Linked DNA regions of Mytilus edulis. The protein of the gene in region 1 interacts with the protein of each later gene in a pairwise test. Links are inferred from orthologs where the notes say so. Each region holds a gene or a part of one and is shown on either strand. Other genes may lie near its edges.

Evidence for each region.
Region 2: the proteins of ribosome biogenesis protein BRX1 homolog (region 1) and probable rRNA-processing protein EBP2 interact in binary tests that used the Drosophila melanogaster proteins (3 or more experiments, as listed by UniProt). The link is inferred for Mytilus edulis from reciprocal best matches to the Drosophila melanogaster genes CG11583 and CG1542.

What each region holds. Positions count from the first base shown.
Region 1 is NC_092344.1:5,745,572-5,752,404, forward strand, and holds the start of ribosome biogenesis protein BRX1 homolog, read right to left. Parts: upstream 3,021-6,833; 5' UTR 2,981-3,020; coding exon 2,864-2,980; intron 1-2,863. Other genes in the region: polyadenylate-binding protein-interacting protein 1-like, read left to right, coding at 3,440-3,572. UniProt on the Drosophila melanogaster protein: Required for biogenesis of the 60S ribosomal subunit.
Region 2 is NC_092344.1:92,387,729-92,394,561, forward strand, and holds the start of probable rRNA-processing protein EBP2, read right to left. Parts: upstream 3,031-6,833; 5' UTR 2,944-3,030; coding exon 2,893-2,943; intron 1-2,892. UniProt on the Drosophila melanogaster protein: Required for the processing of the 27S pre-rRNA.

The sequences.
Region 1 (6,833 bases):
CAGCATATTAGAAACATCTGGAGGACTCAATGGTATCAGGTCCGTACACGTCCAACACACTTATGCACCCTACACGTTTGCATCTCTGTCCTCACATGTTCTCCCCCGAAGTCTGTTCGCACCCTGCACCATTTGTACACATTCACACCAAATTTTTATTCAAATTTCAGTTGAATTATACGATATTTTTTAAATGTATATATATATATGTATGACTCTAAAGTGCAATGGGGACGCTAAATTACGATGGTCACGCTAAAGTGTGATGGTCTACGCTAAAGTGCGATGCTTCCATACGCTAAAGTCTGATGGTCCCCAAAAATATTGACGTTAGAAACGTAGTTCGATACTGACGTTAACAGTCGTTTAAATACAAACCAAAAATGAACATTCCAGAAGATAGATTAGGAATATTTTATTAACAATTTTTACACCAAATGTCCATGACTTACGATTAATTGATTTAATTTAACCGTTCTTTGTCGGCTAAATCACAATGTTTATTTTTTCGAGTGCTGGAAGAAGGACTTGTATCCTACAGTCGACCATTTTACTATATACGAAAAAGGAGAAAGATCGGCGAACATTGCATTTCTCTTGCATTTAGATTAAAACTTTAACAAATAAATGTTGCATATCCCGACAATGAACGAATTTTGTATTTTTGATTTTCAATGACAAATGTAAGGGAGGTTGTAACATTAGTGTGAACGGCATTCTACACCAATTATCCAAATATTCAATACGCTCCAAATTGTTAAAAATTTATTTTACATGATTTATAATATTTGCAAAACATAAAATACCTTTATAGCAATTATTACTTGGTTGGACTTCATAATTTAGAAACAATCACTTCAGTCTACCAGTAAATTGTAAAGCCTATCACATATGTTATACCTTAGCATAATAGCTTTTGCAAAAAGACTTTTTTAACCTCGATGTTTTATTACTTCGAATCTTACCCTTTGGACCATCGCACTTTAGGGTGACACACCATTGTACTTTAGCGAACAAACAACCATCGCACTTTAGCGTGAGACGCCATAGTACTTCAGCGTTACCATCGCACTTTAGCGTTACCATCGTACTTTAGCGTTACCATCGCACTTAAGAGTACCATCGCACTTTAGAGTCTTACATATATACCAAAAATGTTTATAGCAAAACACTCATACATGTGATTCTTCCGGCGGGAGTTAAAATCTCCCGCTTTTCAGACCCTCTTCCGTCCCTCCCGTTAAAATTTGAAATCTTCCGCTTTTTGAAAATGTCAATCTCGAAAAAATTTCAGTAGACATTTCTGTTTACAAAATAGATACGGACAGGGAAAAAGTCCGAGAAACTCTAAATTGATATAGGAAAAGTCCGAGAAAAACGGAAGTTTCCTGTAATGGAATTTGTGTCAAAAAGGTAATAGGAAAATAGCCTTAAGTAATCAATGAAGGTGTTAAGGATTATAGACTGTATATACAACAATAAAAGATGATTGGCATTTACCTAGTAATCAACTAGCTAGTTAAATATACATGTCTGGATGATTAAAAGTGATACTGACAATGGAACAGTTGTATAAACATCGACTTTATAAATTGTGATGCTATTGAAAACATGGAACAGACTTAGTTTATACTGAACCTCAAAGACAATAAAATCAACTCAAATATGATATTTATGTCTTGTCTTCTATCTAGGCCAATGGAATACCTATATAAGTGTGTTTGTCTTATAATTTGACAAAATACAAACTGTATCATGTTATCATCAAATACATGTACCCCAGCATAATATTAAAGAAGACACAGTAATGAGTATCTAGCCAAATTTAAAAATGGTGCAAGTCCAGTGCCAAGGGTCAAGACAATGCTTACTACACTTCATGCAAAGCTGACTATGGGGCCCTAATTACTTGACCAAAAATATGGAGACAGCTACCCACCAGAAAGCCCACAACTCTATCAATTCAACACCTTCTTTTACAAACATGTTCAGTAGTGGTACTAAAGTTGACAATGTGGCTAAAGCAGAGGTACTTTTTGCCAACTATGTATGATGGCTGATCACTTTATCTTTGAACTATATATGATGGCTGATCACTTTAACTTTGAACTATATATGATGAATAAATATTTGACCCCCCCCCCCCCCCTTTATCTTCTATTTTACTAAGTAAAAATGGCTATGCAGGTGCTTGAAGGTATGAAATCATTGGGCTTTTTTTAACAAAAAAGGAAGATATGCAGTTTAAACACACACGAAAAAACCATTGCGTACGTCGATAAAAAATCTCCAGTTATGAGGCCCAAACTCCAGCTGAAAATTTCCAAATCTCCAGTTGTGGCTTGACAACTCTGTCACATGTATGAACACTTACCATGACCCCAAAAACAACTTGTCAGAATCTCACTTTATTTAGAAACCATGATAAAAATATATGTGTACAGCAATACACTTACCAAAACTTGATTACAAATTTTTTAAACACAAAACCAATAAAAGGTGTACAGTGTGACAGTGAAAGGGGGCGAACATGAATGGGAGCCAACTTGAGTGGGCGCAACTGGATGAAGATTCAGACTCAATAGTGTACATCACTAAAACTGATGTGTTTTAATCAGAAGTCCCCAGCAAGCGCTACTAACTTGTACCCAAACCACTTGAATCCGTCACAAAATAGCCAAAAGAAATATCTGATGTACCCATCCTAATAATTAGAAGTGGGAAATACAAATACAGAATTGGACAATCTTGATTTGAATGGTTCCTCATGAAGTCATAAATACTATTTTCATGGTTTCAAAATATAATTGTCTATCATGTTTTTGTAAAAAAAAAAAATCAAGACAAATACACTATAAATTACAATTTTTTTCAGTGGCTCGTCTGAAGATATTGTGGTGGGTAAGTGCACATCATTTTCTTTTTGAGAAGCCTTTTCTTCCTTTTCAACATCAGCACGTGTTCGCTTTTTCTTCGCCATGTTTACATTTGTGATTTGCTCCGCAAAAGTGCTCTAATATTTTTTTTAAATATGTTAATAATTTATTATTAAGTGATCCATTTCCTTTAATTAAACATTATTTTATATATTTTGACAATAATTAATTCGATAAATATAACTTTATCTTCAAAATATCAAATATAAGCTTTTTATTTATGATGTATCCGTATAATTTTTGTTTGTTTGTTCAATAAATAATATATCTGAATAAGAAATATTGATTTATGAACATACTGATTGATAAAAAAATATATAGTAGTATCTAAACTTTAAATTATCAAAACAAAATTTTGTTTATACTGGAAACATCAGCTAGTTAATCCCGCACCAAATTATGATTTCGAGCATCTGTTTACATGAAGTTTCGCAATGATTTCGTAAAACTCACCTTAGATTAGAGTGTAACATCCATATATTTTAGATAGACACAGAAAAGACATGTCTAACAACATTAACGGTGATATGAACATTATGTCTAATCCCGATCGTTCTTCAGATAATCGAACGAGCCCTAAGAAAGAATTGAGAAAACCACACGAATCAACACAAGCAAGGTTATCATATGGTCCAGGTTTGTTGTATTTCTATACTGTCTTTACTGCTATTGTCTTTATGAGGTTTCATTTGATAGAAGTATATGTTTATGTGATGCAGGAGTTCATTCTTTATTCTGGTTGAGGGAGAATTAAGTTTGGACACATCACATGTTTCAGTTTCCTTAAAATATAAATTTGTTATTGCTATCAGGTACAAAAATTATGTATTTGTCCAAGTGAATCAATTCAAATTCAAACTAACCCTGTCAATGATTATGGAATATTAATATAATAGATACTTTAAATTAAAGTATTTTTGCCAATTGTTTCCTGCATGTGTCGATGATGCAACACTCTTCTACAATGTATATGTTCCAGACCATATGAGTATTTGGACCGTACGCGTACGGTCCGGACCGTATACGTATACTCGTACGGTCCGACCATACGCGTACGGTCGGACCGTATGAGTATACGCGTATGGTCCAGTACGAGATAACCATTTATCACAATCTTTATTTTTAGTTTTATAAATTGTTGTCATTACAATTACTTTTAGATGGACAAAATGAACAATTGAACAATTGACATTAAATATTTGTTTAATTGTATATCTGAATACTATTTTGGTACTCTCGCCCAAGGTGACACTTACTACCACAATTAATGATATAGTTTTTACATTTACATGTTTGCGGTTCATTCATGTTCCTTTGCATTTGCATTTTTTTGTAAAGTTTCTAATATTCTAAAATTGTCGTCCCACATCATGTTAAATTCCGATATCGTAAATTTCTATGATCATAATTCAATTAATGTATTACTGATCGACATACTAAATACTAGATATTGATAGATTTAAAAAGCGTGATTTTTTTTATTAGTTAACAAATAAAGCTTTTATTCCAATTACAATTGAACTTTTCCATATTAATTTGAGAGTTAAGTTATGTTGATCTGTACATGAACTTTACATGCATTTGTAACTTATAAACTTAAGCAACTTCTTAATGATATCAATCAGACCGTATGCGTACGGTCCGACCATATGAGTATTTTGAAAAAGTACGCATACGGTCCAGACCGTACGCGTACGGTCCAAATACTCATACGGTCTGGAACATATATATCTAGTTTAAAATAAACAGACTGAAATTAAAAATTTGATAAGAACTCTATATACAGTGAAACTTCTCAAAACCGGCCGCCCATCGGACCACGGGATTCGGCCGGTTTTCAGGGGTGGCCGGTTTGTTGAATTTCAAATTAACAAGAGTTGCTTCCCTTCAATATTTGTGCATTTGTATTTTTGACCATGTATCAATCATAAAGTTTGTTTTGTTGTGTAAATTTAGCTTCGTATTCTAAATTTATTATGAAATAAATATTAAAACATCATTTGTATCTTTATTATTTTTTATTTTGCAGGAATAACAAATAAAATGCAACTATATAACAAAACAGTTTTAATATCGATATATTATGTTATTCAAATCATTAATCACACATTCATCATCGGTACCATACGGTGATAATAATATAGAAGCAGTACACAAACATTACAGCGCTACGTAGACATGCTCATAAATACATATAAATGATTTATTTTATAGGCACTAAGATTTAATTTTATACTTATAAAACATTACATTTTCCAATTAAGTATGAGCACTATCTATTTACGATTTATTTTGAAAGATCAAAGTGATTAATTTCTGTAATTTGCCTAAATTTTTTTTTTTTCAAATGATCAAATAAAGTAGCCAAGCTAAAACATTTAATAAAAAATTAATTATCATCATTGATTAGCGTGGGTGAAGATCATAATCTCTCAACCGATAATTTATTCGGGTATTGATTTGACATTGACAGGTAAACACTACTCAGTGGCCATGCAGGTGTCCTAATTGACCGGATTAACTTGTTTGTTTATATAACATTATTTTATATGGACTAATGATTACAAATGACAAGGCCGGTTTTATGAGGTGATATTTTATTGATTTTGATTACACAAATACACAAATATCGGCCGGTATCCGGTTTAAAGGGGTGGCCGGTTTTATAAGGTTACCTGACCGTTTATTTACATACACGCCGGCCAGGACTTGTTGATTTGGCCGGTATGAAGGGAGAACCGGTATTAAGAGGGACCGGTTTAGAGAAGTTTCACTGTAATCCAAACAGGGTCTTGCTAGGGATTTTTGAATGTGAGTTCTACAACAGCTCTTACATATTCTATTGTGTCCGGGAGTATTACTATATCTACCTTTCTCTATAAGTAAATGGTGAGCAGATATGCGAAATCTTGTTAGACTCCGTCTATCTTCAAATTGTAAAAATTAAACTTCAGGAGCTTACTGAATATACAGTATATGTGAAACTCTAGATTCAAGTACAAATGTATTATAAGGCCACACCAATTTAATTTCTTGTTCTACGGATTTTTGGACTCCAAAATTTGGGGCGAGCGAGCGATTTGAAAATTTTAATAAAAAAATATTTAATTTGCAAATTTTTGAGGCGAAGCTTGAAAAGTAAAGGCGAGCGGTTATAATTTTTTTTTGTAAACATAAAATAATAGGTTTTGACAATATTAAAACTTGATTTATCACTTGTACTTTGACATTTCTTTAATTTCTGAAGTATTTTTCCCTGTTCACCAAGAAATAATTAAATCTGGTCTATGTATGTGTGACTGACAGTGAGACAATTCTCCATCCAAATCATAATCAGTTTGGGGGCAACCCCTTAATGTTATAAATATCCCTTTTACATGTTTTATGAGAGATCAATATAAGTTATAATATATTTGTTTGTACAAAAGGGCTCATATTTTCTCATAAAACTATATATCTATCTGGTATTAAATGGTCAAAACATGTCCCAGAATTTAGTAATATTCCTGGACTTTAACCATGTTACTACATTTACTTTAACAGTTTAATATTATTCAAAATAAGTGGACCCCTCTTTAAGAAAAATTTGTTTAAAATATGATGTAACTCTCCTCTTTTTGAGTACAAAATTCTAAGTGTTCAAAGGTTTTGTATAGAAGAACTATACAAATCCTTGGTATTTCTATTTTCTTTTCTACATCAGTAAAATGACTCCTTGTCTGAGGGAGGGTTGTTCTCAACCTGATAATAACAAACACAGGTCAAAGTACGGCTTTTTACACAGGGCTTTGATACAGACCAAACAGCAAGCTATAAAGGACCCCACAATTATTAGCGTACACAATTCGAACAGGAAAACCCACGATCTAATTTATATATCCAAACAGGAAAATACCA
Region 2 (6,833 bases), about 87 Mb from region 1:
AGTGTTCCAATCTTTGATGGTTTGTGGAAAGAATATTTCCGGTAATCTTATAATGCTGCTGAAATTTGGAAGCTTTTGTCATGCATATTTCTTGACAATCATTTAGGTGGAATTAGATGATCTTCCTTTGTCACAGCAACTTTCTCATTTACTATTTTGAAGAGCATGGTAAGTCTTGCATCTTTTCGTCTTTGTTCAAGTGATCTCCATTCTAGGTGGCATTTTGCTTACACTAGAGTGATTATGGTGTTTGTTCATCTCATATCCTGCTTGTCTCTGGAGCATCTCTAGTGGGTCAATTTCTGTTTAATTGTATGGATCCTATACATGTAGTCCGAGATTACTCTGACTTCCAACTGCTGTTTTGCCAGACAAGCTGTGGACGTGGGACGTCAGAGCTCGTCCCATATCAAAAAGTGGATATTTGCCCGTCCAAAATAGATGCGCTGCTATTCCCTTCTGGTGCCAACAGACGACCTTGGAATTGTATAAATCAGGTATCAATTTGTTTTTTTTTTCATTTATGTCTTCATTTATGTAAGTTTCTCCTACCTGCCACCCTTTATTTTCTCATATTTAGACAGTTTTCACAGTGACCCATCGATTCAGACATTTTTACTTTTATTTTCAAATGGACATCAAGTTACGAGAGATTTTGCAACCTCGAGACTCAAATATGCAAAAATTTATACTTTTTTCACCTCCTTTATAGGAGATCGATATTTAACATTTAGTAGCCAACCACGATTTTTCACCTCCTTTACAGGAGATCGGTATTAAGCATTTAGTGCAAACCACGATAACATTAGGAAGCTCTCGGATATTAACATTGATGGCATTTTAAATGAGCCAGGTGTTAGATTTTATATTCATATTGACCTATGGTCATATGCAAACATCATTTCCCATAGTCCATTGTGCCTTAGTTTTTTCTCGGGATCACATGACAATCTTTCAAAATCAAAGTTAAAATGCCAAAACCGGTGGGTCACTGTGAAAACTGTCTAAATATGAGAAAATAAAGGGTGGCAGGTAGGTGAAACTTACATAAATGAACTAGAGGCTCTAAAGAGCCTGTGTCGCTCACCTTGGTATATGTGAATATTAAACAAAGGACGCAGATAGATTCATGACAAAATTATGTTTTGGTGATGGTGATGTGTTTGTACATCTTACTTTCCTGAACATTCTTGCTGCTTACGATTATCTCTATCTATAATGAACTTGGCAAAGTAGTTTCAGTGGAAAATGTTAGTAAAAATTTACAAATTTTATGAAAATTTTTAAAAATTGACTATAAAGGACAATAACTCCTTAGGGGGTCAATTGACCATTTCAGTCATGTTGACTTATTTGTAAATCTTACTTTTCTGATCATTATTGCTGTTTACAGGTTATCTCTATCTATAATAGTATTCAAGATAATAACCAAAAACAGCAAAATTTCCTTAAAATTACCAATTCAGGGGCAGCAACCTAACAACCAGTTGTCCAATTCATCTGAAAATTTTAGAGCAGATAGATCTGGACTTGATAAAGAATTTGTTTAGCAACTATAATTAAATGCATGTAATTGCATAACCCTCAGGCTTTTTTTATAGTATAATACTGTTCAAACGCTTGGGGGATATCTGGATTAAGATCGCTAATCACTTGTACCTGAACTTGTTCAGGTAGATCAACAAACCAGACAGGAGAATATTACCTGAAGATAGAAGATTCATTTGTCGAATTATTTAACCAAGTTTCCGCAAATGCTTATGATAATTCAGATTAAATAAATAAATTAATAATCCAGTTCAAAGTTTAACAAGTCGACCACGTGCTTTTATTTTGACTTACGCAATCAGCATCCCCCTTTTTAAGAAGTACAAAATAAGATGTAAAACAGTAAATTATTATTTCATCGCAAATAACTGGAGTACTGCTGTATTGTAACAATAATAAAGAATTACTTTAAAAGTTAAAAAGTAAAAACTTTTAATATTCATGATATTTCCTGTAAAGAAATATCGTATCGTAATTCCCAATCATTTCGTAGTTTACAATCAAATTGATACATCCGCGTTTCCGGTTTCTATTCAGACTCGGAAAGATGCAAGTTGCATAGCATCATTAAAAACCTTTTCATTTCACAATGTTTGCTTTACAAATCTTTTTAACCTTTTACATAACCTGTACGACTCGTTTTGTTGTTGCTGCAAACCAGTACCGGTAATGGGTTCATGACTTCTGAAGTTGACAGTGTCCGTGAAAAATAAGCTCAACATGATTTTTAACACCCATAACAATTACCAAAAATAGCAAGAAAACTACCTTCGTGATAGCTATTGGTCATTATCGACTAAGGGAAAGGGAGGGGGCATAAGGGCTTGGCCTTTGAAGTGTTACAAACAGCAATTATTGAAAATATATATATTTCTATATAGAATTTATAATGAAAATTCAAATAAATATAATTTAAATAAGCAATGAATTAGCATGTTCACCTATCCTTATGTGGAGGGATGAAATACTTTTGATCGCGCTACACTGTACGGCGTAGATACAGTTTATGATGGTGAAAGTTTCTCCATCGTTCAATTTTTATCCATGGAGATCCCTGCATACATGATACAGGACTGGCATATTTTTATTATTGGTCTTACAAGGATTAGGATACTCCAATTACTAATGCACTAACTTGGATAGATTTTAATAGCTCAGTCTACATGTAACTTAAAAAGTGAAAATCAAGCTACATAAGCTCAAATAAGTTGTACATGTAGATATGCGAACGTTCGAACCAACCTGGGATGATGAACTGATGTCTGATGAAACCTAAACGACAGTCGAAAGCATATTTCCCCTCAACTTTTACTACGTCATTTGTTATATACAGCAGAAATTTACCTGAGTATCAGAATCTACACTCTCTGAATCGGAAGAATCTAGGTCTGACATTTTTCAATGAAAAAACAAAAACACGTGTGTCAAAGAAAAACAACTAAATAATAGTATCCGAAGTCAAACAGGGAGACATGAATATATTACGGAAACCTGTGGCGGTACTGTGTTAAAAGATTCATGATAAAGGGCGAATACATTTCAGTTTTGAATGTATCAGATCTTTTATGTAAATTAGTTGCGACTTACTAAATAAAAATTCCAAAGGTGCAGATTCGACAGTCGATCGATTGATTATATTTATAAGGTCACACGATCGTTTTTAAATGACATACTCTGATGTTGCTATATATCCTTCTTAACACGTATGCCCTATTCCGCCAAAAACACAGGCATAATTTGGAATCATTGTTGTATACTTACCAAAACAACTAACAATAATACACCCTCCCCCCCCCCAAAAAAAAAAACCCTGAAAAAAATCCCACCAAATAGCAAAAGACATAAACTTGAAATCAACGAAAGATATATATATATATATAGAAGGAGAGAAAACATTTTATATTGTTCCACTGCTATATAGGAACATTCCAGCAGCGTCTGAATATGAAGTTTATATCTCACAGTTAATGCGCCGGATATTCCAGGGCTTGCGTTCCTTATCGCTCCTTCCATGATAGTTCTTCTCACAAGGAAGCTTTCAGTGTGGTATAGGAGTATGAATTAAAAATGATGGAATTAGTTCATACTTTGCATAAACGTTGATGTGTTAAAAAATAATAAAAATGATGAAACCGAGCATTTAAGCTACAGGTTGTGACAAAATTAGGCCTACACATTTTGTATGGATTATACAGGAAAAAAACCCATAATCATGAGTGTGATTAGAAGCTACACTGAATGATAGCATTGTAAATTAAATACGAGAAGTTAGCATTTAGAATATCTTTGAGAATATCAAACAGAAAAGATAGGGTGTCACCGTACGTTTTTCTAGCTAAGATATACATTTTTTCTTGTAGGTTCCCCTAAATATATAAATTTTAAAACATTTCAAAACCAAGCAAAAATAATCTACACTCATAAAAGTATTTTAATATTTATAAGTTATAATCTAATAAATTTGTTCTTTTAAATTAATTTTCACATTAGCTATCTGCATTCCTGCATCAAACTTTGCTATTACCTCAGGCTTGATTGAAAATCTGGACCGTAGGTACTCTGTTGTTTACAATACAAGATGGCGAAAGACACCTTTACTACCTTAAACCGAGAGTTCCAAATGGTGAAATTAAAATCATTTCAATTTTTGGTTGGGCACTTGTTGCCCAGTTTTTAATATTCTATGTTGTGCTGTTTATACTGAGTGTCTTTTGATACCGTTTTTTTTTGTCAAAGCGTTATCAGCTCATTTTTTTTCTCATGAGTGTGTGTGTCCCTAAAGCCCCGGTCATACTGTCACGTTTCAAGAGCTACGTTTTGAAAGCGTACTAGTAGCGAAACGGAAATATACGTAACGAAGCGTATCGAAACGTAGTGATCCTTTCTTCAAAACGGGACCTGCCCCGTATGTTTTAAAAATTCAACAGCAAACGTAACGAAAATAGACACAAAGTAGAAACCTAGTAAATACGTATCAAAGCCTAATGGAACGTAACAAAACGTGCTTACTACGTATCGAAACGTATCAATGTGTGGTGGAAACGTGGGTCTACACGTACTAGTATCATAGCAAAACGTGATATATAAGAACGTAGCACAAACCTAGTAAAGTTAAACCCTAGCTTTCAAAATAACGGGACACTTTTATTTAAAACCGTAGTTGAAACGCAGCATTTTAAAACGGAATAAAACGTGACAGTGTGACTGGGGCCGTTTATTTAGCTTTCGCCTCTCTACCGCACAAGGGACTCAATGGAAAAGCAAACTTCTTAACAACAGACATTGTATCAAACACCAGGAACATTCGTAACTGAGGCAATAATCAATTCTACACACCACCTGACCTGTAAGAACAGACCAGAGTACAGCTTCATACCGACTCTTTAAAAACATTTATCCAACACGAATTGATCTTATTAGAACCCAAAGATACTACTTTATTTAGACACTACTTAATTTTGATACATGAGTAGTTTTAAAATACATGTCATGATAGATGTTAGGCTAAATAGCATCTGAATTGATGAAGTGTTGTGTTTACACTAATTCCACCCGAAATGTTTTGATTGATAATTTAGTCTATACGATTTTTTCACTAGCTGACATTTGATAAATTATTAACCGCTTGGCCAATCATTACTCAATGTTCGGTATTTGTTTTTAGGCAGCAACCATTTGATTTTCTGGGGGGGGGGGGGGGGGGGGGGGGGCTATGTTTTTTTTTGGAAAAAAAAGTTTGTTTCCAGTTTTTGGAGAAAAAAATAATTTGTTTATGATTCTGAGAAAAAAAAATTGTTTGTTTCACCCTCAGCTGCCACTATATGTAATGCTAAAATTGAAAGAAAAAAATTGTTTTCGACTTGTCGCGAAAAAAATAGATTGTTTTTTGCCGCAGGCGAAAAAAAAAGTTTGCACAGAAAAAAAAACCATAGCCCCCCCCCCAGAAAATCAAATGGTTGCTGCCTTAGAGTTCAGACGTTTGTTTTGAGAATTTAAAAATAGAGAATAATTGGCTAAAATAATAGAGAAAGTAAATAGGGGGACCTTTATCGGGACTTCGAGATCGGGTGTTTTTAAGCTCGGGATTTCGGGATAGATCGACATAAAATAGAGAATACAGAAATGAAGAATTCTGATTTTATAGACCCTCATTTATTCGACCTTGGATTTTAAACTACAAGTATTCCAAAATCATTTAAAAAGAATGCAGTAATTTCTACAATTAGTTCATGAAAATCTAAATAAGAAATATTATAAGATGGTAGATTTGAAGCAGCTGAAGTTATAATATAAACAATCCTCAATGTGAAAGCATTTCACACGGTTTCAATTTAAAATATATGTTATAGTAGACTTTATTTGATATTGCACGCTCAACCCCACCCCATCCGTTTTTTTTTATACCAACTACCAACCATCTCCGCCTTATTTTCTTGGGCTCCTCCGCCCCACCACTTATTGAAAGCCCGGCTGAATCCAGCGCTGATCCTTGTAGTTTGAATAAAAGAAAATCACTAAAAGAATTTTATAAAACAGATTTATAAAGTAAGGATAATGACTTTGACATAACTGAAGCAGTCTGTCAAATGAAAAAGTAATTAAAAGGGTGTCTGGATGGGGGTCCTGCAATTCTTCAAGACCTTTTCTCTATTCTTTATAAATTTTGCCTAATATTTGTACATTTTAGCTCCCCATTATTCTCTATTCTTTTTTTTTTTGCCTTAAGTTTTTACCTTTTTTGCACGTTATTGTCCATTATTGTCTATTCTGTAAACCCCATCGAGACCCTCGTAAAGGGGGTGTGTGTATTTAATATTTTTACTTTAATTATAATAGGACCATATCGTTTGCATTCCATAACTCCTTTATTATTAAGCGCAATCCTATTTTTTTTTATCATAAATGTTTATCGAACATTGTCCTATTTTTTAGCCTATCCCGTCAGTTACTATATCATACTGATACCTTGATCTATTTTCGACTTTATAATATAATCAACAGTAGTATTTATGTCAGGTACCAGTCATATGACTGAATTGCGCAATAACAAAACAAACGCATGGGATTGAATCACAAATGAGACATTTGTAGCATGTTATTATTTACAATCTGATAAAAGTAAGTAATATACGACCAACATAATAATAAATAAATAACACAAGAGTTCCGTGATCCCATTTATAATAATTTTGATGCTGTTAATAATAAGAATATTGATTCGGAATCTAACTACTTGATTTCTGTTTAAATTTAGGTGTGCGGGTATGATTTATTTATGATACCCA